Linked DNA regions of Anolis sagrei. The protein of the gene in region 3 interacts with the protein of the main gene of each other region in a pairwise test. Links are inferred from orthologs where the notes say so. Each region holds a gene or a part of one and is shown on either strand. Other genes may lie near its edges.

What was found.
Region 1: the proteins of PACSIN1 (region 3) and JADE2 interact in a two-hybrid assay, tested with the Homo sapiens proteins (2 studies listed by BioGRID and IntAct). The link is inferred for Anolis sagrei from reciprocal best matches to the Homo sapiens genes PACSIN1 and JADE2.
Region 2: the proteins of PACSIN1 (region 3) and EHBP1 interact in a two-hybrid assay, tested with the Homo sapiens proteins (2 studies listed by BioGRID and IntAct). The link is inferred for Anolis sagrei from reciprocal best matches to the Homo sapiens genes PACSIN1 and EHBP1.
Region 4: the proteins of PACSIN1 (region 3) and ANKRD24 interact in a two-hybrid assay, tested with the Homo sapiens proteins (2 studies listed by BioGRID and IntAct). The link is inferred for Anolis sagrei from reciprocal best matches to the Homo sapiens genes PACSIN1 and ANKRD24.

The regions. Positions count from the first base shown.
Region 1 is NC_090022.1:91,846,421-91,853,682, reverse strand, and holds the start of JADE2 (E3 ubiquitin-protein ligase Jade-2), read left to right. Parts: upstream 1-4,244; 5' UTR 4,245-4,331; coding exon 4,332-4,337; intron 4,338-4,373; exon of another isoform or gene 4,374-4,472; intron 4,473-7,262. UniProt on the Homo sapiens protein: Scaffold subunit of some HBO1 complexes, which have a histone H4 acetyltransferase activity. Acts as an E3 ubiquitin-protein ligase mediating the ubiquitination and subsequent proteasomal degradation of target protein histone demethylase KDM1A.
Region 2 is NC_090021.1:152,430,305-152,437,319, forward strand, and holds the start of EHBP1 (EH domain-binding protein 1), read left to right. Parts: upstream 1-4,005; 5' UTR 4,006-4,191; intron 4,192-7,015. UniProt on the Homo sapiens protein: May play a role in actin reorganization. Links clathrin-mediated endocytosis to the actin cytoskeleton. May act as Rab effector protein and play a role in vesicle trafficking.
Region 3 is NC_090024.1:189,108,218-189,115,659, forward strand, and holds the start of PACSIN1 (protein kinase C and casein kinase substrate in neurons protein 1), read left to right. Parts: upstream 1-4,427; 5' UTR 4,428-4,617; intron 4,618-7,442. UniProt on the Homo sapiens protein: Plays a role in the reorganization of the microtubule cytoskeleton via its interaction with MAPT; this decreases microtubule stability and inhibits MAPT-induced microtubule polymerization.
Region 4 is NC_090034.1:49,847,427-49,855,017, reverse strand, and holds the start of ANKRD24 (ankyrin repeat domain-containing protein 24), read left to right. Parts: upstream 1-4,584; 5' UTR 4,585-4,796; coding exon 4,797-4,865; exon of another isoform or gene 4,866-4,869; intron 4,870-7,591. UniProt on the Homo sapiens protein: Component of the stereocilia rootlet in hair cells of inner ear.

The DNA.
Region 1 (7,262 bases), on a different chromosome or scaffold from region 3:
TTGGCAGAAGTTGGGGCTAACAGCGTGAGTTCATGCTGTCCCACAGATTCAAACTGCTGACCTTCTGGTCAGCAATTTCTGCAGCTTAGTGTTTCAACCCGCTCACCACCGAGGCCTCTGTGTGAATTCATTTATAGTATCATAAAACATTGCAGTTTGAATGCTAGGGGAAATGAAGCCATCATAGTATTTTCTAAGCACTATGTTGTGAAATGGATTCTTTGTCAGTAATGAGGCTGTGTTTATACTGTTGAATCAATGCAGTTTGGCACTACCTTTAACTGGTATGGCTTAATGGATTAATGGCTTAATCATGAGGGTTGTAGTTTTGCAAGGAATCTATCCTTCTCTGTCAAAGAGTGATGGTGTGCCATCAAGCTTCCAATTTTGAGATTTCAAAGTATGGATTCATGGCAGGTAAAGTGGTAACAAACTTAGACCTGCTCAAGCTGTGGCTCTCCAGGTGTTAGCCCCAGTTTCTGCCAACCTAGCAGTTTGAAAACATGCAAATGTGAGTAAATCAATAGGTACTGCTCAGGCGGGAAGGTAACGGCGCTCCATGCAGTCATGCTCACCACATGACCTTGGACGTGTCTATGGACAATGCCAGCTCTTTGGCTTAGAAATGGAGATGAGAACCAACCCCCAGAATTGGACATGACTGGACTTAACGTCAAGGGGAAACAACTTTACCTTTACAGTTCCAGTGAATATTGGTTGACAAACTCTGAGTGTTAGTGTGCTGTCACACGCTGGGCCTGTGCATAAGACTGTAGACAGGACATAAATTCTGTGTGCCTAACAGGACGCCGGGGCTGCCTCAGATTAAAGGCCTTTGGACCTCCCCAAAACAAAGTCTTTAGATTGCTTAAAGGTTCAACAAAGTTCTTTATTAATGAAAACAAACAGCTATTTCAAGGCTTTCTTGACAGTCTATAGCCTCTTTCAATCTTGTCCACAGGGAACAGGCACTATCTTCATGACTGGTATTTTAACTAATGGGGAAATCCTTAACTTCTAATCTGGGCAGTCTTTCTTTGCCTCTGTTGGCATGGAGCCCCTACACCCGGTACCAACTGCGTCTGGCTTCCGCAAGTGACCCTTACCAAGCAGAGCTTTGTAGACTTCCAGGGAAAAAGGAGTTCAGGTTTTGGTGATGGCTGGCTGAAGTCCCTCAGCAAAGGAGCTGTAAGGCTGTATCTCCCCGGCCAAGCCGTAGGCTGTATATCTCCCTGGCCAAGCCATAGAAGATGAAGCTTTCTACAGGAGCTCTTGGTATTATGTCCTGCATGGAAAGCTTCTCTGTGTGGACTGAACTCAAAAAGGTTCCTATTCCCTCCAAAAACCCAAAGGGGGCGGGACCAGGGAACCTAACGATAATTGACAGGTGGCTTTCCCTATGATTGCAGCCAAAAGAAGCCACCTATCTGCAGAGTCCCTGAAACTTAGGACTACCAATGAACATTCAATGCAAAGCAAACAAAATTGGAGCTCCTGGTACAGCTGTACCTGCACAGTTAGAGTAAGACTCTAGAGACCTGGGGGGGGGGGGGCATCTACGCTGTAGAATTAATACGTTTGGCACTACTCTAACTGCCATGAAATTGTGGGATTTGTAGTTTGGCAAGGCACCAAGTACTCTGTGTCAGAGAGGGCAAAAAAAACCAAACACACAACCATGCAACACTGCAACTCCCAGCATTGCATAGCCATGAGACATGGCAGTTCAAGTTGCATTCATTCTCCGGGGTTGATCCAGCTCAGGATTGACCATAGAAACTCACTCCTGGACAAGGCACTGACTCTCATAGAATCATAGAATTGGGAGAGATCGCGTGGGCCATCCAGTCCAGCCCCCTGCTAAGAAGCAGGGCAACCCTCAACCCTAGAAAACTCTGGGCCAGGCCTGACATAGGTTGGCAACGGCTTGAAGGTACACCCCAAGAGCCAAGGCTGTGGGAAAGCAGCGCTGGCTCTTGAACCTTGAGCTCTGGAGCTGTTGAGAAAGTTCAGCCGTCAGGAGCGCATCCAGCCCCCAAAGCCCCAAATATTGGCGGGCAGCGCTTCGGGGGAGGGGACAAAGGTCGCCGGCGCACTTCGGGGAAGGAGAAAAAGCAAGAGCTGTCCTCCTTTCTGGCGGGGGGGGGGGGGTGACCAACCGTTGCAAAGGGGGCGAGGGAGGGAGGGAGGGAGAGAGAGCCACCAGCTCGCTTTCCTAGCTGCTACCGCCTTGTTTTGTGCATCATCCCAAGGTCAAGGCGAGCACGGCAAGGGGCGGGAGGAGGAGGAGGAGGAGGGCGGACCCGGCTCCTCTCCTTCCTGTGTCAACTGTGCAAAGTTCTCTCTCTGTGTGTCTGTCTGCAAACCGCAGAGATCTTGGGGAGGAAGAGAGAGAGAGAGAGAAAAGGAGGTGGGGGGGGGGGGGGTGGAAGGATCTCAGCGAGCCGGGCGTGAAGTGGGACAAACTGGCGAATCAGGAGGGAGAAAAGGAAGGCAGGCAGGCAGGCTGTCCTCGAGGCCGCCCCTCCAGGCCCGGAGCGCGCGCTCCCCGCCTCCTCCTCCTCTTCCTCCTCCCTCTTGGCAAGCACCGCCACGCCGGAGGAGCAAGTGCTTCCTAACGGCTCCCGGTCGGAGTCTCTGTGTATATGTGTGGGACACACCTTGGGCTCCGCACACCTCCTTCCTCAAGAGAGAGAGAGAGAGGCCAGCCCCACAGAACTTTGCGAGCCACGCCGAGGAGCCCCCTGAGGGGAACTTCCTCGCCGCCCGAGCCCACCCAGCCAGCCACCCAGTCGGCTTGGGGGTCTCTTGCCTGGCCTCCTTTGCCTCCCTCCCAGCTCCACCCCCACGCCCCCTCCTGCCCTCTTTCCCTCCCTCCCGGCTCCGCGCGAGACGCGTCTTCTTTTTTGACGCAGGAAGAAATGGCAAATTTGAAGTACGTCATTAATATGGCGCCAAAAGATTTGGTTAAGTATAATCTTAGGAGGAGGATGCTTTGGGGGGAATAACACACACACATACACACACCCCCGCGGATCAGGAGCGAGGTGCAGGTTTAGCTCCGAGGAAGGGAAAGCAAGCTCTGGGGTCGGTGTTTTTTGGAGGGTGGGAAAAGAGTGTTGCACCTCCGAGGAAGGGAGCCCAGAAAGTGCGATCCCTGCCTCTGTGTGTGTGTTTATGTGTGTGCATTCGCGCCAGGCTGAAGATCATTGCGAAAGTGACCTGATCAGGCTTGTTGGAGAGGGATCTCGAGGGAGAGAGAGAGAGAGAGAGAGGGCAGGGAAGGCGAGCGAGCCTGGCTTTGGCGTGCCTCCCTCTCTCTCTCTCTCTCGGAGTGAGCCCTTTGCAGCTGCCCAAGGCGCAAGGAGAGAAAAGCAAGCGAGCGATGGGGACTGGGCGCATCGGAGGGAGGTGAAGGCGAGGGAGGGGAAGGGGGAGGAGGGGAGGAGGGCGAGAGGGAGGGAGCGAGGCAACACATGCCCAACACAATCAGGGATGGGACCCACGTCTGCAGCTGCACCTGGACCTGCTGCTCGCCGGGAAGAAACAACCAGCAAGAAAAGAAGAAATTGAAAAAGGGGGGAAGGAAGGAAGGAAGGAAGGAAGGAAGGAAGGCGCGTGGAGAAAGGAAAAGGGGGAGAGAGAACTCGCCAGCATCATCACTGATCCACTCCTAAGAAGAAGAATCCGAAGTCGCTGCTTGGCCAGTAGAGAAGGAGGAGGAGGGAGAGCAAGGGCCAGGGTGGCAGGATTTTCGGGAGAAGAAGGAAAAGAAGAAGAGGAGGAAAAGTGGATGTAAAAAAGGGAAGAGAAGCGCGGGGCAGGGCCGGCCGGGTTGGGCTCCGCGCGGCCGTCTCCGCGGGAAGCCGAGCCCGGGGGATTGTGTGCGCGCGCCTGCCCGCTTCCTGCGCCCATGGAGTTACTTTGTCTCGAGTCCTGAGCGGAGGGGCGAGCAGGGCAAGGGAGAGAGGGAAGGGCAAGGGCATGCGGCGCCCCCGGACCCCCCGCCCTCGCCGACGCCCCCTGGCCTAACGCCGCTCCCCAGGAGGAGGAAGAGGAGCCCTCCGCTTCCCGGACAAGGTAACAAGCCAGCGGAAAGCTGCCCCTGCCTTCCTTCCCTCCCTTCCCTTCTGTTTCTCCGCAGCTTCCCTGGATGGCTGCCTCCCTCTCTCCCTCCTTCCTTCCTCCTTCTCCCTCCTGGCGTTTGTTTGCTCCCTGCCTGGCTGCAAAGGAGGAAGGCGGGGTGCGTGCAAGAGAGAGAGAGAGAGAAAAAAAAGCGAGTGCGCGAAGTGTGTTGTTGCCTCTTCCGACCTGGATGGTGGTGATGGCGCATGTTGGTCCGTCCTGCTTGGGAGAGAGAGGGAGGGAGGGAGAGAGAGAAGGAGGGAGGGAGGGAGGCGGCAGGGATGTAAACAACCAACTTTGGGAAGCTTCCCTTGGATTAATGACTGCGGCAGGAGCCAGACCCAAAGGTCGGTCTCCAAGGAAGGCGGGAGGGAGGGGGGCATGAGGAGAAGAGGCCGAGCAGTTCTCTTTTGGGGGGAACGAGAGGGGGGGGGGCAAACCGACTGGGTTTCCCTCCCTGCCTGGCAGAGGGGTTGGGCTGGATGGCCTCTTCCAACTATGAGCCAATGTGAAAGGGAAAGAGGGGTGTGTGTATTGGGCTAGGTGACCTCTTCCAAATATGATGGGAAAGGGGTGTGTGTGTGTTGGGCTGGATGGCTTCTTCCAACTGTCTGAGCCTATGTGAAGAGGGAAAGAGGTGTGTGTGTTGGGCTGGGTGACCTCTTCCAAATATGAGCCTCTGTGAAAAGGGATAGAGGTGTGTGTGTGTGTGTGTTGGGTGGGATGGCCTCTTCCAACTCTCTAAGCCTCTGAAAAGGAAAGAGGTGTGTGTATGTATGTGTTTTGGGGCTGTGATGGCCCTTGAGGTCTAATCCAACTGTTATGATGAGGAGAAGGGGTGCTGTATGTGTTTGTGGATTGTGATGGCCTTTGGAGTGTCTTCCAAGTCTTAGGGTGAGAAGGGGTGAAGGAGAGGTGTGTTGTGTGTGTGTGTGTGTTTTGGGTCCGCGGTGGCGCGCGGGGTCCGGGGCAACGAGGAGCGACACGAGTTCCGTTTGTGTTGGTTGATCCGCAGCACGTTTCGCAGCCTCTTTTCCGCGGCGCCCACATGATCGGAGCCTCTCACGTGTCGCCAGCCAGGGTTGGGGGCTTCCTCTCAGCGCCTCCCTCGGATATAAACAAGCCTTCCCTTTGGAGAGAGAGGGAGGGAGGGAGGGCGAGCTATCTCTCTCTCTCTCTCTCTCCAAAGGGCAGCAGTAGCAGCACCCGCCTTTCTTTGCTGGGGCGCTGGTGGCTTTGGCAGCGCGGGGCGGGACATTGTGGTCGTCGGCCTGGAGAGATTTGGGAATGGAAATGTACAGCAGTGGCCGCCAAGGGAGCTGCGCGGCAGGGAGGAGGAGGGCTGGAGGGGGCGTGGCGCTTGTTTACCTTCTCCAACTCGCCCGGCTCCCTCCGGTGGGGGGGGGGGTCTTCTCCTCTCACCCCTCCGCCTCCTCTTCCTCCTCCTCCTCCCCCCGCTGGTCTTCCCCTCCCGGAGAGCCATTGCTTCCACTCAGCTGACCTGCATTCCCTCCCTGGCATTGCACTTGGCTCCCGCCTTGGCCAGGCATGGGCAAACATCGTCCCTCCAGATGTTTTGACAGTCGGTAGGGTGTTAGGAATTGTGGGAGTTGAAGTCCAAAACACCTGGAGGGCCAAAGTTTGCCCATGCCTGCTTCAGGCTCAGCCAAGGTAATACACATTTAGAATAATGATGGCATCTTATATCTTCCATGCCTAGTCTATGCTGTGGGAATGATGCACTTTGACACCACTTTCACTGCCATGGAATCATGGGATGGGTAGTTTTACAAGGTCTTCAGTCTACTCTGCCCAAGAGGGCCGGTGCCTCGTCAAACTCCAAATGCCATTGGAAATTGAGCCATAGTGGTACCAGGCTGCATTATTTCTAGATGCACCTAGGCTAGGCTTTCCTTAGCTCTGCCAAGCTGCAATCTCTCATGCAAGCATTGCTATTTTCCCCCTCCTCCAACCTCTCCTGGAAGGGGTGTCCAGTGTATCTCCCTTTCATGCTTTGGAGAGAAGGTAAAGGTAAAGCTTTTCCCTGACATTAAGTCTAGTTGTTTCTGAAGCTTGGGGGGGAGGGGGGATGCTCATCTTTATTTCTAAGCCAAAGAACCCGTGTTGTCTATAGACACTTCCAAGGTCATGTGGCCAGCACTGTTCCCTTCCTGCAGAAGCAGTACCTATTGATCTACTCACATTTGCATGTTTTCGAACTGCTAGGTTGGCAGAAGCTGGGGCTAACAGAGGGAGCTCACACCATTCCCCAGATTTGAACCGCTGACCTTTCAGTAAGCAAGTTTAGCAGCTCAGTGGTTTAACCCGCTGTGCCACCAGAGAATAGGTAGTGATGTTGAAACCCAACATTGTCTTGGAATTAATGCAGTGTGACAGCCCATCAACTGTCGTGACTTGATGCAGCAGAATCCTGGGAGTTGTAGTTTCAAAAAGTCTTGAGCCTTCTCTGCCAAAGAGTGCTGGGACCTCACCAAATTACAACTGCCAGGATTCCATGGGATTGAGCCAGGGTGGTTAAAACACTGCCAAACCGCATTAATTCTGATAGGGTAGAAGCACCCATAGTTCAAGGTGGGGAAATATGGGGGGTGAAGAGAAGGTGAAAGTTTCCTCCTTTTTTTTCTTTGCTCTCATGTGTTCCTTTTGGAGCAGGTGACATCCTCTCCCTCCCTTCCAGTCATGAACACCTTTCTCTTGGCCACTCCTATCCAACTCCCAACTTCAGATCTTCCTCAGGACATTGGGGGAGGGGTCGTAATAACCTTCCTCTGAAGCTTCATTGTGTTGCAGTCCAAATTGACTTTTTAAAAAGCTGGGGGTGGGGGTACAGTTTGGAAGGTAAGACTGTGTTGGTAGTCTTCACATCCCCCCCCCCCCAACTCACTATAGACCTATCTTTTCCTAGTTCCTAATCCCATTGAGAATAAGGTTAGTCCAGGGATAAACAACAGTGCTAGCCATGCTGGTCCCCAAGGTAAACAAAAACCAAACCCATAGCTAGCCAGTACATGTATTATGTCCCATTGATAAAGTTTTCCTGTTTGTTTGTTTGTTTGTTTGTTTATTTATTTAAAATCTTCAAATCCTACCCTATATGCAACATTAAAATGACTCTG
Region 2 (7,015 bases), on a different chromosome or scaffold from region 3:
TTTAGATTTTGGAGTATTTCAGATTTCAGAATTTCAGATAAGCAACCTGTATAAGCAATGAGGGGGAGCAGACTGTCTCAGGACGGCACTATGGAATTGCTTCACTGGAGTAAGGAGCAACGAAAGACAGTTTAGTACCACAGTTCGCACTGCTTGCATCACATAAATATTCTATGGAGAATACAGTATTTTGATATTATAAGATAGTTTGGGTCTGTGTTTTGTACATATTGAAGAACACCTTTTCAAACCTTTCTCCTTTCCATGCAAAATCTTCTATTCATATTAACAAAGTGCTGGGACAAACCCACATGATGACTGCAGAATAAAAAATATTCTTTTGTAGCACGGACTAAGTTTTTCACTCAGCTAACCATATCTTACTAGAGCAGTGGTTCTCAACCTGGGGTCCCCAGATGTTTTTGGCCTTCAACTCCCAGAAATCCTAACAGCTGCTAAACTGGCTGGGATTTCTGGGAATTGTAGGCCAAAAACATCTGGAGACAACAGGTTGAGAACCACTGTACTCGAGACAAAATTGAAGTACTTTGGCCACATCATGAGGAGATAGCAAAGCCTAGAGAAGACAATTATGCTGGGGAAAGTGGAAGGTAAAAGGAAGAGGGGCCAGCCAAGGGCAAGATGGATGGATGGCATCCTTGAAGTGACTGGACTGACCTTGAAGGAGCTGGGGGTGGTGACGGCCGACAGGGAGCTCTGGCGTGGGCTGGTCCATGAAGTCACAAAGAGTCGGAGACGACTGAACGAATGAACAACAACAACCATATCTTAGAGGCAAAAATTTCCCAGGAAGATGGGTCACGTGTACAGACAAGCCTCCTTGGCAGTCCCATTTCCACAATTTTCTGGAGTTGCTGCTACCATCTGTCCACAAAATTCATGTAACTTAAAAGCATAATTGAAACTTTGGAATCAAAACTTTTATACACCACTCTGTTTCTCTGTGTGTCTAGCGATGCATCTGCACTGTAGAGTGAATGCAGTTTGACATCACTTTAAGTGCCATGGCTCAATGCCACGGAATCTTAGGAGCTGAAGACAACAAATTCCCACAAAAGTGTGTGAAAGAAAACCCTTAATGTTTGATACCAAGATCCTCTGTGGCTCCATTGGAAAACACAGCCAGCCAGATGTTTATTTATTTATTTATGCCACTTTTATCCCGCCCATTTCAGCCCGAAGGCAACTCAGGGCAGCGTACAAATCGGCAACAATTAGATGTCATATAAAAATACATACATTGGTTAAAAGCAAGCAAAAATCACGTCATAATACATTTAAAAACCACAAAAGCAATAAAAATAAAAATTCTAAAACTATGTCTTCCTGTTCAAGGGTGATTAGGTTATTCCTAATCACCTTTCTATGGAATTCTTTGGAAATCTCCTAGGACATCAACTCACCTCGTCCTTGTCACATCCTCACCCAGAGAAAATCACCATCATTCCCATATAATTATGGAGAATGGGAGAGGGACATACAAGGAATTCGAGTCAGAGACTTTTGGGTTTCTTTATCTATTCGGCATATGGCCTCGGCTAGTCTGGGAATGTTCCCTTTTCCTAGACCTCTGTATCAGCTCCCTGGGGAGAGGGCGATCAACTAACAACACCTGGGTGCACTTTATTGTATGTTAAGATTATCCCTATTGTGTTAACCAAGCCCATCATGGACTCATTTCCCAGTGCCACAGTGCATTGCTTTCTGATCATGCCCTTCACAGAGGCGGATCAATAAACAGACTCAAAATAAACCAATGATAATTTACTAAATGTAATGCCATACAAAGCAATGACCAGCAATGATGTTTTTCAACCAATCGGGAGCTCGCACAGGTTTCTTGAATAGCTGTCAAATGAAATAAAAATACTCTGTATTTGCAATTCAGATTTTTTTTTTGTCGTGTCAGGAGTAACTTCAGAAACTGCAAGTCGCTTCTGGTGTGAGAGAATTGGCTGTCTGCAAGGATGTTGTCCAGGGGACACCCGGATGATTTTTGATGTTTTTATCATCCTTGTGGGAGGCTTCTCTCATGTCCCCGCTTGGGGAGTTGGAGATGACAGAGGGAGCTCATCTGCCTCTCCCTGGATTCGAACCTGCGACCTTCAGTCCTGCCAGCTCAACCTAGCAAACCTTTTGTATCATTACCCCAATACCCTCATGCATATGGGATATATTGAGTATGGTTATCAGATCATGATATGAATAAACATAACAGTTTAAATAATGCACCAGTAAGGCCTTTTCGCAGACCACCATGAGAATTCCGGGGGGGGGGGGCTGAAGCCCCCCCCGGCTACATGCCTGACCCCACCAATGACATAATTGGGGCAAACTTCCCACACAGAACCCCCATGACCAACAGAAAATACTTAAGGCCATCCAGTCCAACTCCCTTCATCAGGGCAAGAAAACGTAATCAAAGCCCTCCTGACAAAGAGCCATCCAGCCATAGATATAGATAGATATGATTCACACACAGAGAGATATAGTATCATAGATTTGAAAGGGACCCCTAAAGAAGGACAATTATATGTCACATGTTCCAGAGTAGGCAAACCAAACAATCTCCACATCAACACTGACAAAGAAACAGCAAGAAATACCATTTACCCACAAGCATAAAGAAATTACATGTATTAGAAAGCAACACTTTCTCATTACTTTATATTCCAGATCACCAGACTGGGCCACAGCAACGCGTGGCAGGGGACAGCTAGTACTATATATATATATATATATATATATATATATATATATCAGTGCTTGCTGCTATTTTAGTAATGTGATTTTCAAGAAGATTCCATCTGAACATGAGGAAGAACTTCCTGACTGTGAGAGCCATTCAGCAGTGGAACTCTCTGCCCCGCTTCTTTGGAGGCTTTTAAACAGAGGCTGGATGGCCATCTGTCAGGGGTGATTTGAATGCAATGTTCCTGCTTCTTGGCAGGGGGTTGGACTGGATGGCCCATGAGGTCTCTTCCAACTCTTTGATTCTATGATTAATCTGAATTATATGACATGATAGCCATGTATAAGTATGTGAGAGGAAGCCACAGGGAGGAGGGAGCAAGCTTGTTTTCTGCTTCCCAGGAGACTAGGCCGCGGAGCAATGGCTTCAAACTACAAGAGAGGAGATTCCATCTGAACATGAGGAAGAACTTCCTGACTGTGAGAGCCGTTCAGCAGTGGAACTCTCTGCCCCAGAGTGTGGTAGAAGCTCCTTCTTTGGAGGCTTTTAAGCGGAGGCTGGATGGCCATCTGTCGGGGATGCTTTGAATGCAATATTCCTGCTTCTTGGCAGGGGGTTGGAGTGGATGGTCCATGAAGTCTCTTCCAACTCTGTGATTCTATGATTCTATGATGGCTTTTAAACAGAGGATGGATGGCCATCTGTCAGGAGTGATTTGAATGCAATGTTCCTGCTTCTTGGCAGGGGGTTGGACTGGGTGGCCCATGAGGTCTCTTCCAACTCTATGATTCTAAGTCAATTCCTGTATTTCCCTGGCAAACTTTGTTCTGGACTTCTCGTTTCCAGATCCATTGAGGTTTTCTGGGCCAGGTGTATGGAGAGGGGTTTTCCTTGGCCTTCCCTTGAGGCTGAGAGAGTGTGCCTGGACCAAACTGTTTCCAGGGCCGACCGAGGATTCGAACCCGGATCCCCAGAGTTCAGGACCAGGCTCACCTCCCTCCTCTCCCCGCGCCCCGCCCAATCTCAGCCACAACTCCCCCACCCTCACCCAGACCCAAGGGCGGGCCGCTTCCCTTCAAACGGACGCCCCAGCTGTCCAATGGCGACGCCTTTCGGTATAAACAACCCCGCCCCTTCGGAACGCTACGGACCAATAGCAATGCCCATTTAGTTGAGAGGGGAACGAGCGCATCGTTTCTTTTTCCCTCCTGCCAGGAGGGCTTCATTGCCCCCGCCCGCTCCGTTCTTGACTGAGATTGGCATTGCTGTCCGCCAATGAGCGCGCGCGGCCTTTGGGCGGGGGCGGTCCCCCCCAGCTCAGGCACACGCGGGTTGGGTTGCGCTGCGGGGCGAAGTTGCTGTGAAGGCGCAGAGGCGAAGGTGGCGGCATCGACGGGGACGGCGGAGGAATGCGAGGCGCCGCGGCTGCTTCCGAGGCGGGAGAGGCTTCGTCTCGAGCCGTCCGCGTGGCCGCTGAGGTAACAGGCGCGGGCCAAGCGGCGCGTGACAGGGAGGGAGAGAAGGAGGAAGGGCGGCCAAGGGGCTGACTGGTCTCCCCTCAGTCAGTTCGCCTCACGCTGGGGGCCTTCTTTCCCCCTCCAGCATTACCCAGAATGCCCCAGAGGAGCCCTCACTACGGCTGGAGCTTCCCTCGGACCTGCCTCTCCCTCCCTGGCTGGGACTGAAGTGTGGCAGGTCTCCCCAGCCGGCCACCGCCTGAGGGAAAGGAAGGATGCCCCTCGGCCGCACCCCCTGCCTTCTCTCTGCCCTCTGCCAAGGGAGGAAAGACTCTGCTACACCTTTCCTTCCCTTTCTTCCCCATCAGCATTTAGACAAAGAACTTCTCCAGTCTGCGAGGTCGGCATAGTAATAATAACAACAACAATAACAATAATTTATTTCTATCCCGCTTTTCTCTCAGGGCCCTTCCACACAGCCCTGTAACCCAGAATATCAAGGCAGAGTAACACACAATATCTGCTTTGCACTGGGTTATCTGAGTCCACGCTGCCTTAGATCCCAGTTCAAAGCAGATATTGTGGGATGAACCAACCTGGACACAGCAGATTATTGGAGAACACAGAAATGTTGGACTGCTTCGCTCATCTGGAGAGGCCCTGCTCGCGATTCCATCTGCGTCGCAGGCGCGTTTGGTGGGGACGAGGGACAGGGCCTTTTCTGTGGTAGCCCCCCGACTTTGGAACTCAAAGACATCAGACAGGCCCCTACGTTGGCAGTCTTTAGGAAGTATTTGAAGACCTGGCTGTTCCGATGTGCCTTTCCAGAATAGGAAAACTCCAGCAACACGTCCCAGAAGCACTTTATTAGAGTTTAAGGTTGCCTGCACACTGCACTTACCCTACCACCTGTCACACTCAGCACTTTTTAATCTGTACCCATTACATTTGGCCCGGCCCTAGTTTTATCATGTTTTGGTGTACTGTTTTTGTTGTTCTGATATTGCTTTAATTGTTTTTGATTTGCTTTAAGTTGTGTATTTGTTATGTTGTTGTTTTATTGAGGCCTTGGTATGTGCCGGCAGAACTGAAGACCAACAGGTAGCAGGTTTGAATCCAGGGAGAGGTGGATGAGCTCCCTCTATCATCTCCAGCTTCTCATGCAGGGACATGAGAGAAGCCTCCCACAAGGATGATAAAAACATCAATTCATCCAGGCGTCCCCTGGGCAACGTCCTTGCAGACGGCCAATTCCCTCACACCAGGAGTCACTCCTGACACGACAAAAAATCATAAAAAAAAAATTGAGGCCTTGGCCTTTGTAAGCCGCATCGAATCCTTCAGGAGATGCTAGCAGGGTTAATAATAATAAAATAATAATAATAATACTCTCATAACTACCATGTCAGACTACACAAATAAAGTTAATAATAATAATAATAAAAATAATACTCTCATAACTACCATGTCAGACTACACAGAGAAGCCATTGAAATATACAAGCATGTGGACAATTTCAACAGAAAGGAGGAAACCATGAAAATGAACAAAATCTGGCTACCAGTATTAAAAACTCTAAAATTACAACAGCAAAATAGGCACATCTAATCACCTCTCAACAAAAGATTACCCCAGGCACTGCCAGGCCATCAAATGCTAATCAAGGTGGTCAGTTGAAACATTCACACCTAGCTCCAGCAGACAAGAGTTCTTTATCCCACCCTAGTCATTCCACAGATATATAAACCCATTTTCCTAGTTCCAACAGACCTCACTACCTCTGAGGATGCTTGCCATAGATGCAGGTGAAACGTCAGGAGAGAATGTCTCTAGAACATGGCCAAATAGCCCGGAAAAACCTACAACAACCCAGTGATTCCAGCCATGAAAGCCTTCGACAATATATTGTGGGATTTTCTGCCTTGATATTCGGGATTATATGACTGTGTGGAAGGGCCCTAACTGTAATCTGGTCTTCCCCCTTTCCCAATGCATTCTACCATACCAAGCATTGCCTTTCCTAGGGAATCTTATCTTCTCACATTATGCCAACAGTGCAGTAGTCTTAGTTTAGAATCCTAGAGTTGGAAGAGACCTCATGGGCCATCCAGTCCAACCCCCTGCCAAGAAGCAGGAACATTACATTCAAAGCACCCCTGACAGATGGCCATCCAGACTGCTTAAAAGCCCCCAAAGGAGCCTCCACCACACTTCAGGGCAGAGAGTTCCACTGCTGAACAGCTCTCACAGTCAGGAAGTTCTTCCTCATGTTCAGATGGAATCTCCTTTCTTGTAGTTTGAAGCCATTGTTCCACATCCTAGTCTCCAGTGCAGCAGAAAACAAGCTTGGTCCCTCCTCCCTATGACTTCATCTCACATATTTATACATGTCTCCTCTCAGCCTTCTCTTCTTCAGGCCAAACATGCCCAGCTCTTTAAGCCACTCCTCATAGGGCTTGATCTCCAGACCCTTGATCATTTTAGTCTTTGGACACATTCCAGCTTGTCAATATCTCTCTTCAATTGTGTGTGTGCCCAGAATTGGACACAATATTCCAGGTGTGGTCTAACCAAGGCACAATAGAGTATGGGTAGCATGACTTCCCTGGACCTAGACGCTATACTATTGATGCAGACCAAATATGGCTTTTTTGCCGTCACATCACATTGTTGGCTCATGTTTAACTTGTTGTCCACAAGAACCCCAAGATCTTTTTCACACGTACTGCTCTTGAGCCACACGTCCCCCATTCTGTATCTTTGTATTTCATTTTTTCTGCCTAAGTGGAGTATCTTGCATTTGTCACAGTTGAATTTCATTTTGTTAGTTTTGGCCCATCTCTCT
Region 3 (7,442 bases):
CACAGTATTTTAGTCAGGAAATGAAAATCTAAAAAGAAATGGGGCAGCATTGATAGTGAGATACAACAAAAGCAGTCAAAAGATATCTTGTAAAATTTGATTGAATAATATCAATAATATTTCTGGAAAACCCCATCAATATAACCATTATCAATATTTATGCTCAACTACAGAGGCAAAAATAGGAACAATTGAAAAGCTGTATGCTGAGTCCAAGATGAAATTATTCATATACCAAAATAGAAGTTCTTGTTAAACATAGGTGATTGGAATGTAAATATAAGAAACAGAACAATATCAAAGCCTGTGTGAAAATTTGACCTAGGAATAAGAAATAAAGTAGGAGGGTAACTATGTTCATTGAAAACACATTCTTCAAGCAATTGTATATATGGACATCATCTGATTGATTTATTTCATCTCAAAAGCATTGAATAAATAAGTATAAAACTGATAAAAATAGAAGGAGGCACAAGTGGCTAAATAATTTTTGACCAAAAATGGGCAACAGCGACCACATTGTCTGTGGACTTAAACAATTCTTCCTCTGTGCATGAGGCAGGACATTGTGGCCAAGCATACAGTTGCCGAGTTGTTTCTTCTGCTCCACAGTCGCACAAGGTGGAGGAGTCTTCTAAGTAGTGCCATTTGCCAGATTGTCTTTTGATCTGCCCACTCCACGTCTGAGTCTATTCAGGGACTTCCAAGTTGGCCATTCTTGGTTTGCCCTGGAGGAAGACCCTAGTGGGGGGGGGGGTCCATTTGGGATTTCCTGCTTTAACTGCCTAGAGGGATACTCTTGCTGTTGCTGGGGGAACGTTAAGAGGAGTGGTGATTCTAATGAAGCTTTTCTTGATTTGAGTCTACTGGGAGGAGGCCGATAACCATACAGTGGATGGCTTTCACAGTGTTCAACCTTGTTTCTCTCACAGTTAGCAGCAACTTCCCATCGCACATCAGGGTGGGGAACGATGCCAGGTAGCACCTGATGGCCAATAGAGAAATCAAATAGGCTATATAATTGGAAGCAAATGATGGAGAAGCTCCATTTTGTCTGCAAAAACTAGATCAAGAGCACCTTGTGGCACAAAACATGAACTAATAAGATTTTTTTAAAAATCAAGTAAAGCTAATGACAAACATTAAACAAGTCCTCTTGCAAAATCAATCCTGAACAGCATCCTCATAGAATTGAAATATACTATAAAAAGGAGATGTATATAATTAAACCTAATTGATTGAAGCAAGGAACATTTTTTCAACTGGCAAACACTAAGAAAATGTAACTGAAAAACAACAAATGCATCTAACTTTTTGTACTACAGTGTTTCTGAAATAGTTTACAAAAATATGACCAAACTTGTTTTTCCATCAGCACCATAATATCCTGTTTCTTATATACTTTAAATAGGCTCAGTAACATTTTAGTCATATAGAGTTGACCGAATCAGTTTAGTGCCTTAGGCAAGCTAAGCTAACATAAAGTGCTTAGTCCCTAAGGCTTGCCATGTTATTTTGGCACATGATGCAGAAAATCCCAATGCCTGGCCGTAAAATGAGAACAACAACAAAACAATAACGATTTGCTGCCCCTTCACTGCCACTGAGTAAGACGACCACCTAATTTGCCAATAAGAAGGCAGGCCTTTTATAGGTGTACAAAACATCCATGTAAATGTCGTTCTTATGAAACAAGAAATATTATATTGCCATGTCTCTTGTACTGAAGATCTGGACAGAGAGAGGGCAGGAACTCCTCTTTGAGAACCAGGTTTCTCATCACAACTGTGTAGCTGTGTTAAGGTATCACATTGCATCCTGGAGAGGCCAGTTCTGTCTCTCCTGCTAAGAACTGTGTAAAGGAGGATGAATAATACAGGAGAGAGGAAGCAGTCAGATTTGCCTGAGTAAGCAGAGAGAGAGAACTTTCCCAAGAGGCGACCAGCACTATCCCAGATCAAATAACTATGTTCTTTTTTTCTGGGGCATACACATCACATGCCAGCCAACACAGTCACTCTTTAGAAGTAAAGCCCGAAGGAAAAGAGATCTTTAGAGCTGATTGTAAGTTGGAGAACATGCCTCCTTGTGAGATCCATAGCAATTTATCATGAACTTATTAATCATCTTTCTTTTATTGATAGAGTAAGTGTCTTTGTTACATAAGCAATTCTTTTGACTGCTGTGCAATTGCTTTTACTTATAGCAGCATGCATCTGAGAAAAATACTGGCAAGTCAAAGTAGATGCTTAAGTTTATTCTTGACTGACTGTGTTGAAAAAAAGGAAATTGTAGGAAGCCTTATTGATTCAAGTAGCAAGAGATGGGGAATCTATATGACAGCAGTATCCTATTCCTTTGTATCAAGCCCATGCGTGATAATCGTAAAGCAACACTGTTTGGTTATGAGTTTTTGTTGTATGTATTAGTTTGACTTTTTGGTCAAGAAAGGGATTTGCTGTATTAAGTATTGCAAATTACCACAAGAGGGCACACATGTGGCCTGATTCTCTCACAGTAGGTTTTCATCAAGGGAAGCCAGTTTCTTTTGTTCAGAGCTATAAGGCTGTTTACTGTGAAACCTGTCTTTGCATGTATGCTGTCACTCAGATCATCACTACAGGCCAGGCAGCTCAAGGATGTCTTTTTGTGCTCTGAATTATTCATAAAAACTCCAAACATTTATCTATGACAACTTTACATCTTCAGAACATATTTACAGCATTTGCAGGGTCAACTCAAGACATTTTGGTGCCTCAGGGCGAACAATACATGGTGCCTCCTGCTCACCCAAATGTACTGCCAACATTTCATGGATGAAAAACAGGACACGGGCAGCCAAGTAGTTTCAGATTGTGATCAAGGTGGCAAAAAAGAAGAACACTCTAGACAGGAGAAGCTGCAGCAGTTTGTCTTTGCCTAAATCTACAGGGAAGGGCAAAATTCTGACCCTCCTCTCCTCCCCCTGCTAAATTAATTGAGTGCAAACTATTTTTGCAGTTTGAACCCAGTTTTCAGCAACTGAAATAGGTTAATGATAATGGGAGCAGGAGGAAGGGAAAGAAACTGTGACAATTTAAAAGTTGCTGAAAAAGTAGGACTGTGCCTGCTAAATCTGGACAGTTAGGGGGTATCTGCAATAGTGCAAAACAGCAAAAGCCAACTAAGCCATTCTGGTCCATGAGTCAGGTTCTATGTGCCCTGCTATAACTCCCCAGATCTGTTACCTGAGGCAACTGCTTCAATCTGCTTAAAAATAGGACTAACCCTGGGGCTTATCTGGGATATCTGAAAGGATGCAGACTAGAGATATGCAAAGGAAAAGTGGCTCACCCATTATGGTTGCTATAACAGCCTGTGTCAGAACACACACCCAGGGGCAGCTCAACCCATTACGCAAAGTAAGCATTCGCAGTATAGTTGATTTTGCCCAGGGGTGCCCCTGAGGCGCTCTTGGGGGGAAATAGACCATGGCATATGCGAGTTGTAGTTACTGGGATGTATAGTTCAATCAAAGAACATTCTGAACTCCACCAATGATCGAATTGAACCAAATATGGCACACAGAACTCCCACGACGAACAGAAAATACATATCAGTGATTGGGTGGGGGGTGGGGGCAAAATAGTTTGCTTACCATTGAAAATTACCTAGGGCCGCCTCTGTACACACCAAACTCATTTCCTTTTTATGCTATCTACTCCTTTGTAGAGAATCCCAAATGTGGAACTCATTTTTCAATATGGTACTTTTTGAAAATAAATCTAGTCAGCTAGTAAAAAAGGAACAATAGGTCTAGAACCCACAGGGCAAACTATATATTATAGTATTTATATAGTGTTTATATCCTTACCACTTGTGTGCTGATGACAAAAAGCCCAATCCATCCACCCACCATGACAAATGGAATGTTACATTGGACCCAAGATGTGGAGGAAGATGAGCTTTAATTCTTTGTTCCTGCTGAGGTCCTAATCCAGAGAGGGCTTCTGAGCGTGCTATTTATTTCTTTAAGGTAACCACATGAGAACAAAAGGCTTGAACATCTGATCCATGCAGCTGCTAGAGTAACATGGCTCTGAGAATCTGATGTAAACATTGATGATAGAATGAGGAAAGGGACGTGGAGGGAAAAAATAGGGCAGGATGGGGGAAGGAAAAGAGGACATACTGAAGCCAACATGTAAACAGAGAAGGGGGGAGGATGGGGAAGGAAACAATTACACGTGTGTGGAAGAAAGGAAGTGCAAGAAGGTGGGGGTGATGGATGGGGGATCCAAGGAAAGGGAGAACACAAACAGCCCCCAGCTTATGTTCTGCTTTCTCTGCAGTAATGTGTTCACCTTGTGCTGTCAGCAAGTCATTACTCAGAGCTTGGCTAGCGATTGGCTGGCTAAAAATGCCTCTCTAATCTCTGGGCTGATCTTTACCCCCCTCCCACCCATCTGCTGTGACCTTCCTTCCAACGTGCACAAGCTGAGAAAGAAAGGGAAGAATCCAGTAGAGTTCCTTGCCAGGCAGTTGGCATCCAAACCAAACGTGAGACCGCAGTGCTACTCGGCTGGGACCCAGCTTTTCTGGCCAGGATCTGATGGTTCCTACAACCAATCCAGAAAGGTATGTTGTGGGCAATTTCTTTTATCCCTTAAGACCATCCTGCATCCTCTCCTCCACAGATTATATTCACATTTCTATAGGCTGTTCCATCAGCCAAGTGGTCCTTAGCATCATACTACATTTGGGATGCAGCCAGTCTTGATAGGAATGTGTATGTGTTTTTGTAAACCACCAGCCCATCTGCTATGCAGATCTTAAGGTGTGGGTGTTTGGCCTGTTCCTATGAGACACGTGGGCATCAGGTGGCTGCTGAGAATCATAACACACCATAAGGCCCTCTTTTGCACTGCTGTGCACCAGTCATGTTGTTCATGCTGGGGAAGAAACAGACATTCACTGGGCATTCAGAGAGGCAGCACTACTTTGTGGAAGGTTCTAACTTTGTTTTCTGTGGCACAGTTTCAGTTGACGTTGTTTCCACCTTCAGTGGTTCAAATTACCTGAGATGACTCTTATTTCACCACTTCATTTTCAATATTGCTAACATGATCAAGGTGCAAAGGAGTCATAAGATAAGCATGATTTGGATAAAACTTTGAGGTCCATGAATGAAATTGATAGATGTGTCCTGTCTGTGAGGTTATGGGTAGTCTCCATCCGCGTTCATATACAAAGTTGTTATAGATGAAACATTTATATTTCATGCATAGACATGGACAACAGTACATTGACAGCATAATATAAATAAATGAGAAAAGAGACTCACTCTGCAACACATATAGAAGTCTGGCTTACCATAATTATGACATGGATGTTCCCCAGATGGTAGTCCCTCTTTAGTGTGCTATCTTTGCTGCACCAATGATTTGCTATCTCCAACTGGAAATAGGGACAAAATACTGGCACCATCCTAAGATCAGCTGCTTTGTAGCTGAAAAAGCACTGACCCATAAGCCTTTTAGACTCTATCTGGGTCTTCTTTGTTTTAAGCTTTATACGGGTTTACCCTGCCAGCTGTTTCTAAGGCCACCATGGAGAGGATAGGGAACAGATTAGAGAGAGAAAGGGTTAGCTTGAAAAGGGGTCTCTTGCTTACTCCTCATTTGCAGTAACAAAGTCCTCCAGGGCATAGTATATTATCAAGTACACACTACTAATAAATCATTTCCATTTTTTTCTCCATCCAGACCAAGGAAGTAATGTAACATTACATGTAATATATTAATTTTGGGAGGTAACAAAATTAGAGTTAGAGTTTTGTGCAAAAATAATATAGGAACTGGCAACATCATTACTTTGGGAGCAGAAGCAGTCACCTTCACCTTTCATTTGGTCAGAGGTCCAGTTTTGGGCCTCACTCATTTTTTGTATTGTTAAGTTTACTTTCAATAACAAACAACATTAGTTACTTTTTAAAACATAATACCAAGTCATGAATTACTTAGTAAAATAATAGTGCAGGGTCTATATTCATTATGAAGTCTTTCCTCTATAATTTCAGTAATTTTAAAAGACAGAGAAATTTCAGTTCAAATGCATTTAAATTCTGCCAGAAAAGAACATAGTAAAAACTCTATTTTTTAAAATACAGTAATTGAACTGCTCTAAAGGGATTTATTTTCTTTTAAATGGTTCATTTTCCTTTCTTTTCTTTATTTTATAGGCATCTGTGCATTATTATATTATTTGCTTAACAAATAAGAGAGAATGAAGAGCTGTTATTTTCTAAAACAGCAATAAGAACTGAGAACCAGGGTGGTGCCATGGTTTGAGCACTAGACTGTGACTGGAGACGAGGGTCTGAAACCCACTTGAGCAAGCCACACTCTCTCAGCCTCAAAGAAAGGCAAAGGCAACTCCCCTCTGAATCTTGCTAAGAAAACCCTATAATAGATTTGTCTGATGTTGCTATAAATTGGAAATGACTTGGAAACACATAACAACAACAACAAACGTGAACTGAAGCAGCTATGTACAGATTAAACTTCTTATTTTCAAATCTAATCTATTCATCTCCTAATCTGTTGCTGTTCTTTGGGTATCACGTGATATTCACATTCTGTGGCAGATGGTGGCTTCCATATAAATCTACGTTTTCCCATCAGAGTTTTAATTTAAGCATTAATGGATCTATCCAAGGTGCTGAACTCTAGCCCCAAATATGTAAATTCCCCAGGAAATGTCTTTCAAAGCATAGTCTAAGACCTAGAGTTGATTTAATAATCCATTAGTGTGAAAGCCAGCAGCCAATATTTTTCAGATTTCCACTAGAGGGAAACGCTTTCTAGGAAGGGCAAATGTTTTGATCTGTGGCACCCTGGATTCTTCTCCCTTCATTTGGCTCTTGCTGAGCAACTTTTCAAACTGTTAATCTCCTTAGCATGGCTATGTGTGGTCAGCTGAATATCTCTTGAATCCTCACATCACTCTTAACACAAACCTGCACATCTCTACTCAGAGGAAAGCCTTTGTGAGTTCAGTGGGACTTATTCCCGAGATAGCTTGTATAAGGTTAGCTTTAGACCTAAATCCTTTTGCTCTCTTCTCAACTAAAGCAGACCCATTGATTCAATGAGATTTGCATACATTTTAAACTCATCATTGGGCAAACGATTCCTTGTTTCTGCTTTAGCTGGAGTTAGCAATTGGATGTAGGCTTACATACTAAGAGCTTTGGCTGTTCCTGGATCCAATTTGGTCTCTGTTCAGTCACATGACTGATTATTTTATTGAAAGGAAGTCTTCAGGTGACCTCTTTGACACTCCAGAGAAAGATTCCTGTACTAATAGTTGTTGCCTCTTGTCTTTGTATCTGAACTGCCCCAAATCTAGAAAGGTCAGCACAATTCAATCATAACAGCCAACTCTAGGAAACCAAACGTGGT
Region 4 (7,591 bases), on a different chromosome or scaffold from region 3:
CCCCCACTTGCATGGAAGCCATCAGCCACTAGAGGCCACTGCCTGACTCCATCCTAATGAAATAAATACATAATAATGACATAATACTAAAATAACAAAATAATAATTAAATAAAAAATATTATGATATTAAAATAAAAATAAAATAAAATAATAATATATAATATTACTATAATATATAATAAAATAATATTATAATAATAATTATGAAGTAATGAAATATAATAAAATAATAACATAATAACAACATAATAATAAAATATTAAAAATACAATAATCTATATAAATAAAAATGTAATGTTTGTTTGTGGTATTAACAGAACTCAGAAACCACTGGTCGAATTGACACCAAATTTGGACACAATACACATAACAGTCCAACGAGTGTCCGTCACCCATAAACACACACACACACAAAACCCCAGCAGAACAGACTTAAAAATCCAAAAATACACCATATATACATACACACATACACTCATATACATATGCACATGCACACATTCATACACGCATGCGTATATATGTATATGCACAAACACACACAAATACACACATACACACACAAACATATATACATATACACATGCACACACATATACATATCCACACACATACATATATACACACAAATATGCATATAGACAAGCACACACATACACACAATATGCATGTACACATATAAATACACAAATATACACACACATATATATACACACACATATACACCCGTATATATATGTATATGTATATAAGCAAACACACATATATACACAAATATATACACACATATACACAATATGCATATACACATATAAACACACAAATACACAAATATATACACACACACACACATACACACACACACACATATATACGCACACATATATACACCCCAGGGGCGGCTCAACGCATTACGCAAAGTAAGCATTTGCAGTATAGTTGATTTTGCCCAGGGGCATTCTTGAGGCACTCTTGGGGGAAAATAGACCTTGACATATGCGAGTTGTAGTTACTGGGATGTATAGTTCACCTACAATCAAAGAGCATTCTGAACTCCACCAATGATGGAATTGAACCAAATATGGCACACAGAACTCCCACGACGAACAGAAAATATTTATCTGTGATTGGTTGGGGGGGGGGGGCAAATACTGTTTGCTTATTGTTGAAAATTACCTAGGGCCGCCTCTGATACACCCCTATATATATGTGTATATGTATATAAGCAAACACACATATATACACAAATATATACGCACATATACACAATATGCATATACACATATAAACACACAAATACACAAATACACACACATACACACATATATATATATGCAAACACACACATACACAAAACACATATACACAGACTGAGCCACAGCAACGCATGGCAAGGGACGGCTAGTAATCTATATCATAAAATCATAGAACAATAGAATCAAAGAGTTGGAAGAGACCTCATGGGCCATCCAGTCCAACCCCCCGCCAAGAAGCAGGAATATTGCATTCAAATCACCCCTGACAGATGGCCATCCAGCCTCTGTTTAAAAGCTTCCAAAGAAGGAGCCTCCACCACACTCCGGGGCAGAGAGTTCCACTGCTGAACGGCTCTCACAGGAAGTTCTTCCTCATGTTCAGATGGAATCTCCTCTCTTGTAGTTTGAAGCCATTGTTCCGCGTCCTAGTCTCCAAGGAAGCAGAAAACAAGCTTGCTCCCTCCTCCCTGTGGCTTCCTCTCACATATTTATACATGGCTATCATGTCTCCTCTCAGCCTTCTCTTCTTCAGGCTAAACATGCTCAGCTCCTTAAGCCGTTCCTCATAGGGCTTGTTCTCCAGACCCTTGATCATTTTAGTCGCCCTCCTCTGGACACTTTCCAGCTTGTCAATATCTCTCTTGAATTGTGGTGCCCAGAATTGGACACAATATTCCAGGTGTGGTCTAACCAAAGCGGAATAGAGGGGTAGCATTACTTCCTTAGATCTAGACACTAGGCTCCTATTTGTATAGATAAAAATGTAATGTTTGTGGGATGAACATAACACAAAAACCGCTGGACAAATTAACACCATATTTGGACACAAGACACGTATCAAGCCAACAAGTGACCATCACTCAGAAAAACACTGAAAAACACTGAAGAAGGGACTTAAAAAGCAAAAAAAGCAAAAAATGCATGTGCAAAACTACATATATATATATACGCAAACACACATATACACATGCAACGCGTGGCAGGGGGATGGCTAATACAATAATAATAGTAATGCTACGCCCCACTAGAGGCCACTGCCTGAGTCCATCCTTTTCCCTTCCTGAGCTTCTTCTTTGCCATTGCAATTCCATCATTGGCCACTAGAGGCCACTGCCTATTTTATTTATCGTGTCATCAGCAACCATACCATTGTATTACATTTCTAACAGAACAAAACAAACACAAATTTTGCAAATTTGGTAGTTGTTTAAATGTCCTTTGAAGAGTATCTGGCCACTTGGAGTGCCTCTGGTGTTGCTGCAAGAAGGTCCTCCATTGTGCATGTGGCAGGGCTCAGGTTGCATTGCAGCAGGTGGTCAGTGGTTTGCTCTTCTCCACACTCGCATGTCGTGGATTCCACTTTGTAGCCCCATTTCTTAAGGTTGGCTCTGCATCTCGTGGTGCCAAAGCGCAGTCTGTTCAGCGCCTTCTAAGTCGCCCAGTCTTCTTTGTTCCCAGGGGGGAGTCTCTCATCTGGTATCACCCACGGATTGAGGTGCTGGATTTAAGCCTGCCACTTTTGGACTCTCGCTTACTGAGGTGTTCCAGTGAGTGTCTCTGTAGATCTAAGAAAATTATTTCTTGATTTAAGTCGTTGACGTGCTGGCTGATACCCAAACAAGGGATAAGCTGGAGATGTCTCTGCCTTGGTCCTTTCACTATTGGCTGCTACTTCCCAGCGGATGTCAGGTGGTGCAATACCGGCTAAGCAGTGTAATTTCTCCAGTGTTGTAGGGCGCAGACACCCTGTGATAATGCGGCATGTATCATTAAGAGCCACATCTACTGTTTTAGTGTGGTGAGATGTGTTCCACACTGGGCATGCATACTCAGCAGCAGAGTAGCATAGCGCAAGGGCAGATGTCTTCACTGTGTCTGGTTGTGATCCCCAGGTTGTGCCAGTCAGCTTTTGTATGATGTTGTTTCTAGCGCCCACTTTTTGCTTGATGTTCAGGTAGTGCTTCTTGTAGGTCAGAGCACGGTCCAAAGTGACTCCCAGGTATTTGGGTGTGCTGCAATGCTCCAGTGGGATTCCTTCCCAGGTGATCCTCAGAGCTCAGGATGCTTGTCTGTTCTTAAGGTGAAAGGCGCATGTCTGTGTTTTAGATGGGTTAGGGATCAGCTGGTTTTCCCTGTAGTAGGCAGTAAGGGCACCTAGAGCTTCGGAGAGCTTCTGTTCAACCATCTCAAAGCTCCCTGCTTTGGGGGACATGAGAGAAGCCTCCTCGCAGGATTGCAAGACATCCGGGCATCCCCTGGGCAACGTCTTCGTAGATGGCTGATTCTCTTGCCTCAGAAGCAACCAGAAGCAAGGTTCTTGTGGGGTTTTTCGGGCTATAGAGCCATGTTCTAGAGGCATTTCTCCTGACGTTTCGCCTGCATCTATGGCAAGCATCCTCAGAGGTAGTGAGGTCTGTTGGAATTAGGACAATGGGTTTATATATCTGTGGAATGGCTGGGGAGGGGCAAAGAGCTCTTCTCTGCTGGAGCTAGGTGTGAATGTTTCAACTGACCACCTTCATTAGCATTTGAAGGCCTGGCTGAGCCTGGGAAAATCTTTTGTTGAGAGTTGTTAAGATGTGCCTGGTTGTTTCCTCTCTATTGTTTTGCTGTTGTAATTTTAGAGTTTTTTAATACTGGTAGCCAGATTTTGTTCATTTTCATGGTTTTTTCCTTTCTGTTGAAATTGTCCACATGCTTGTGGATTTCAATGGCTTCTCTGTGTAGTCAGACATGGTGGTTGTTGGTGTGGTCCAGCATTTCTGTGTTCTCAAATAATATGCTGTGTCCAGAAGCGACTTGCAGCATGCAGGCCACTGCCTGAGTCCATCCTTTTCCCTTCCTGAGCTTCTTCTTTGCCAATGCAATTCCCCCATTGGCCACTAGAGGCCACTGCCTGAGTCCGTCCTTTTCCCTTCCTGAGCTTCTTCTTTGCCAATGCAATTCCCCCATTGGCCACTAGAGGCCACTGCCTGAGTCCATCCTTTTCCCTTCCTGAGCTTCTTCTTTGCCAATGCAATTCCCTCATTGGCCACTAGAGGCCACTGCCTGAGTCCATCCTTTTCCCTTCCTGAGCTTCTTCTTTGCCAATGCAATTCCGCCATTGGCCACTAGAGGCCACTGCCTGACTCCAGCCTTTTCCCTTCCTGAGCTTCTCCTTTGCCATTGCAATTCCGCCATTGGCCACTAGAGGCCACTGCCTGACTCCAGCCTTTTCCCTTCCTGAGCTTCTCCTTTGCCATTGCAATTCCGCCATCGGCCACTAGCGGCCACTACCTGACACTATATTTTTCCCTTCCCGAGCTTCTTTTTTGCCATTGCAACTCTCCACTGTTGGACTCCCTCCTTTTCCCTTTCTGATCTTCTTAATCTTCGCCCTTGCAACTCCCCCATCGGCCACTAGAGGCCACTGTTTGGCTCCATCCTTTCCCCTTTCTGATCTTCGCTGGACCACTTTCTTCCCAGCATCTGAGCCGAGAGCATCCTTCATCTTTGCCTTCTCCATTCTCCCCTGTTTCGCTCCTTTGCATTCGGATGGATGGCGACCCGCTACTTCCTCGGGGGCACCATGAAGCAGATCTGCTTTTGTGCCGCTTCCTCCTTTGCGGTAGGTGAGACCACTCCTCCTTATTTCATTTATTTCTCCTCCGATGGCTTCCTTTTCCTCCGCTCCACCATAATCTCCATCCAGCTTTGTTTCTCGCAGGCTCCTTTGCACTCTGTGCATGCTCAGAGGTCAAGCAGGCGGCTTCCACCTTTGCTGCATTGTATTCTATCGTTCTTTCCTTCACATTTGTACGTCAGTGATAATTATGTTATTTTTATTATTATACTATATCATAATATTATATATATATTATAATATATTATAATATATATTATATTAATATCATTCTATATATTACTTTACTATTATATTTTTATTAGATATTATATCATTATCATTATACACTATTAGTTTATTATATATTATTATATTATATTTATTATTTTATTTTTATTATACTATATACTTATTATTATATACTATTTTATTAGTATATTATATATTACTATATAATGTGTATTATATGTTACATTATATGTATGCTTGTATTATTTTTATTTTGTATATAGTTATTATTATATATGATTGTTTTATTATATTATCTATTATTGTATTATATTTATTATTATATATTATATTATCATTATATATTACTGCTCTATTAGTAGTATTTGTTATTTTAATATTTTATTAGTATATTATGTATTAATAAGGGTACATTACATTGTTTTGGAGCATTGTTGCTGCTCGGAGTCTCTTTCAGGACAGAAAAGCAAGGCCTGGGTTAATATTGCAAAAATAATAGCTAATAATAATAGCTAATATAATATAATATTGCAAAAATAATAGCTAATAATAATAAAATGATAATATATAATAAAACATTAAAATATTATAATAATAAAATAATATAGATAATAATATAAAATATAAAATAATAAAATAATAAATATAATATAATATATAACAATATATAGTAATATATTACAATAATAATAATATATAATAAAATAATATTAAAATATTAAATAATAATAATAATAATAATAAATGCAACAACAACAACAACAATAATAAATACAATCTTAATGCTATGGCCCATTTACATGGAAGCCATTGCAATTGTCACATTGTCTTCCCACTAAGGAGATTTTAAGGACACTCCGGAGGCCAACATGTCAGCAATTCTCAATTAAAAACGCTGATGAGCATTGGAAGCTGACTGTCAACAGAGCAAGGGCCTCTTTTCTATCAAACCAAAGGAGGAAAAGCCGAGGTCTTTAAGCAGTGGCTGGGTGTTCATCTGTCAGGAGTGCTTGGATGGTGTTTTCTTCCATTGGGTTAGACGGGGTCCCCTTCTGATGTTTGAAATGCTATGATTCTCTTAAATGAATATTAGCCAAGCTAGTGGAATGGATTGATGACCCGCTCATTAATTGAGGTTGGACTGGATGACCATTGGGGGTCTCTTCCAATGTTTCACCTTTGTTTTATGCTGCCGAGAAAGACAAAGATTGAGGCCCTTCGGATTAAACACCACCACCAAAGCCAGGTGACGTCCAGGGAATATTAATACAAAGTCAGAAAGGGATTATCTTTAAGCCGAGGGAAGGAGCAGAGGAGGAATATAGAGGGCATCATACCATTTGGAGCTATTCTTCGCAGATTAAGAATTGGGTCCAGCTCTTAAATATAAAGGAATGGATGGCTCCTATGGTGATGGGGAGAGGAACCCACTCCAGATTTTTCATTTAGACTTTGAAGGACCTCTCCAAGCCGCTGAATCTCATTCCTGGTCCTTTTCCCCATCTAGGCGACCTCCTTGAAAGCGCTTTTTTCAGTGCCTTGGAGAACTTCCCTTGATGTTCTCTCTTGGTTCAGTGCTTTGGAGACCTTCTTGAAAGACTTGTTCAACATATTGGCACTCTCTCTTGGTTTAGCATCTTGGAGAACTTCCTTGGTTCAGTGCCTTGGAGATCTTGTTGAAAGCACTACCTTGGTTGAATGTCTTTAGATCCCCTTGAAACTTTCTCTCTTGGTTGAATGTCTTAGAGATCTTCCTTGAAGTTCTCTCTTAGTTCAGTGCCTTGGATACCTTCTTGAAATACTTCTTTCAACACCTTGAAGATCTCCCTTAAAGCTCTCTTTTTGTGATCTTCCTTGATGTTCCCTCTTGGTTTGGCCTTGGAGACCTTCTTGTCTAAACACTTTGGAAATCTTCCTTGAAGCTCTCTCTTGGTTTAGCATCTTGGAGAACTTCTCCTGATGTTCTCTCTTGGTTCAGTGACTTGGAGACCTCCTTTAAGTTCTGTCTTGGTGCAGCATCTTTGAGATCTTCCTTGAAGTTCTCTCTTGGTTCAGTGCCTTGGAGACCTTTTTGAAAGACTTAGTTCACTACCTTGAAGATCTCCCTCAAAGTTCTCTCTTGGTTTGGCATCTTGGAAAACTTATTCTGATGTTGGTTCAGTGTCTTGGAGTTCTTCATTGAAGTTCTCTCATGGTTTAGTGCCTTGGAGACCTTCCTGAAAGACTGGGCTCAGTGCCTTGGAGATCTCCCTTGAAGTTCTCTCTTGGTTTAGTGCCTTGGAGATCTCCCTTGAAGCTCTCTCCCTGTTCAATGTCTTAGAGGCCTCCCTGGAAGCTCTCTCTCAGTTCAATGTCTTAGAGATCTCCCTTGAAGCTCTCGCTTGGTTCAGTGCCTTAGAGACCTTCTTGAAAGACACCTTGGAGATCTCCCTTGAAGCTCTTACTTCATGAACTTCCTTGAAGTTTTCCCTTGGTCCAGT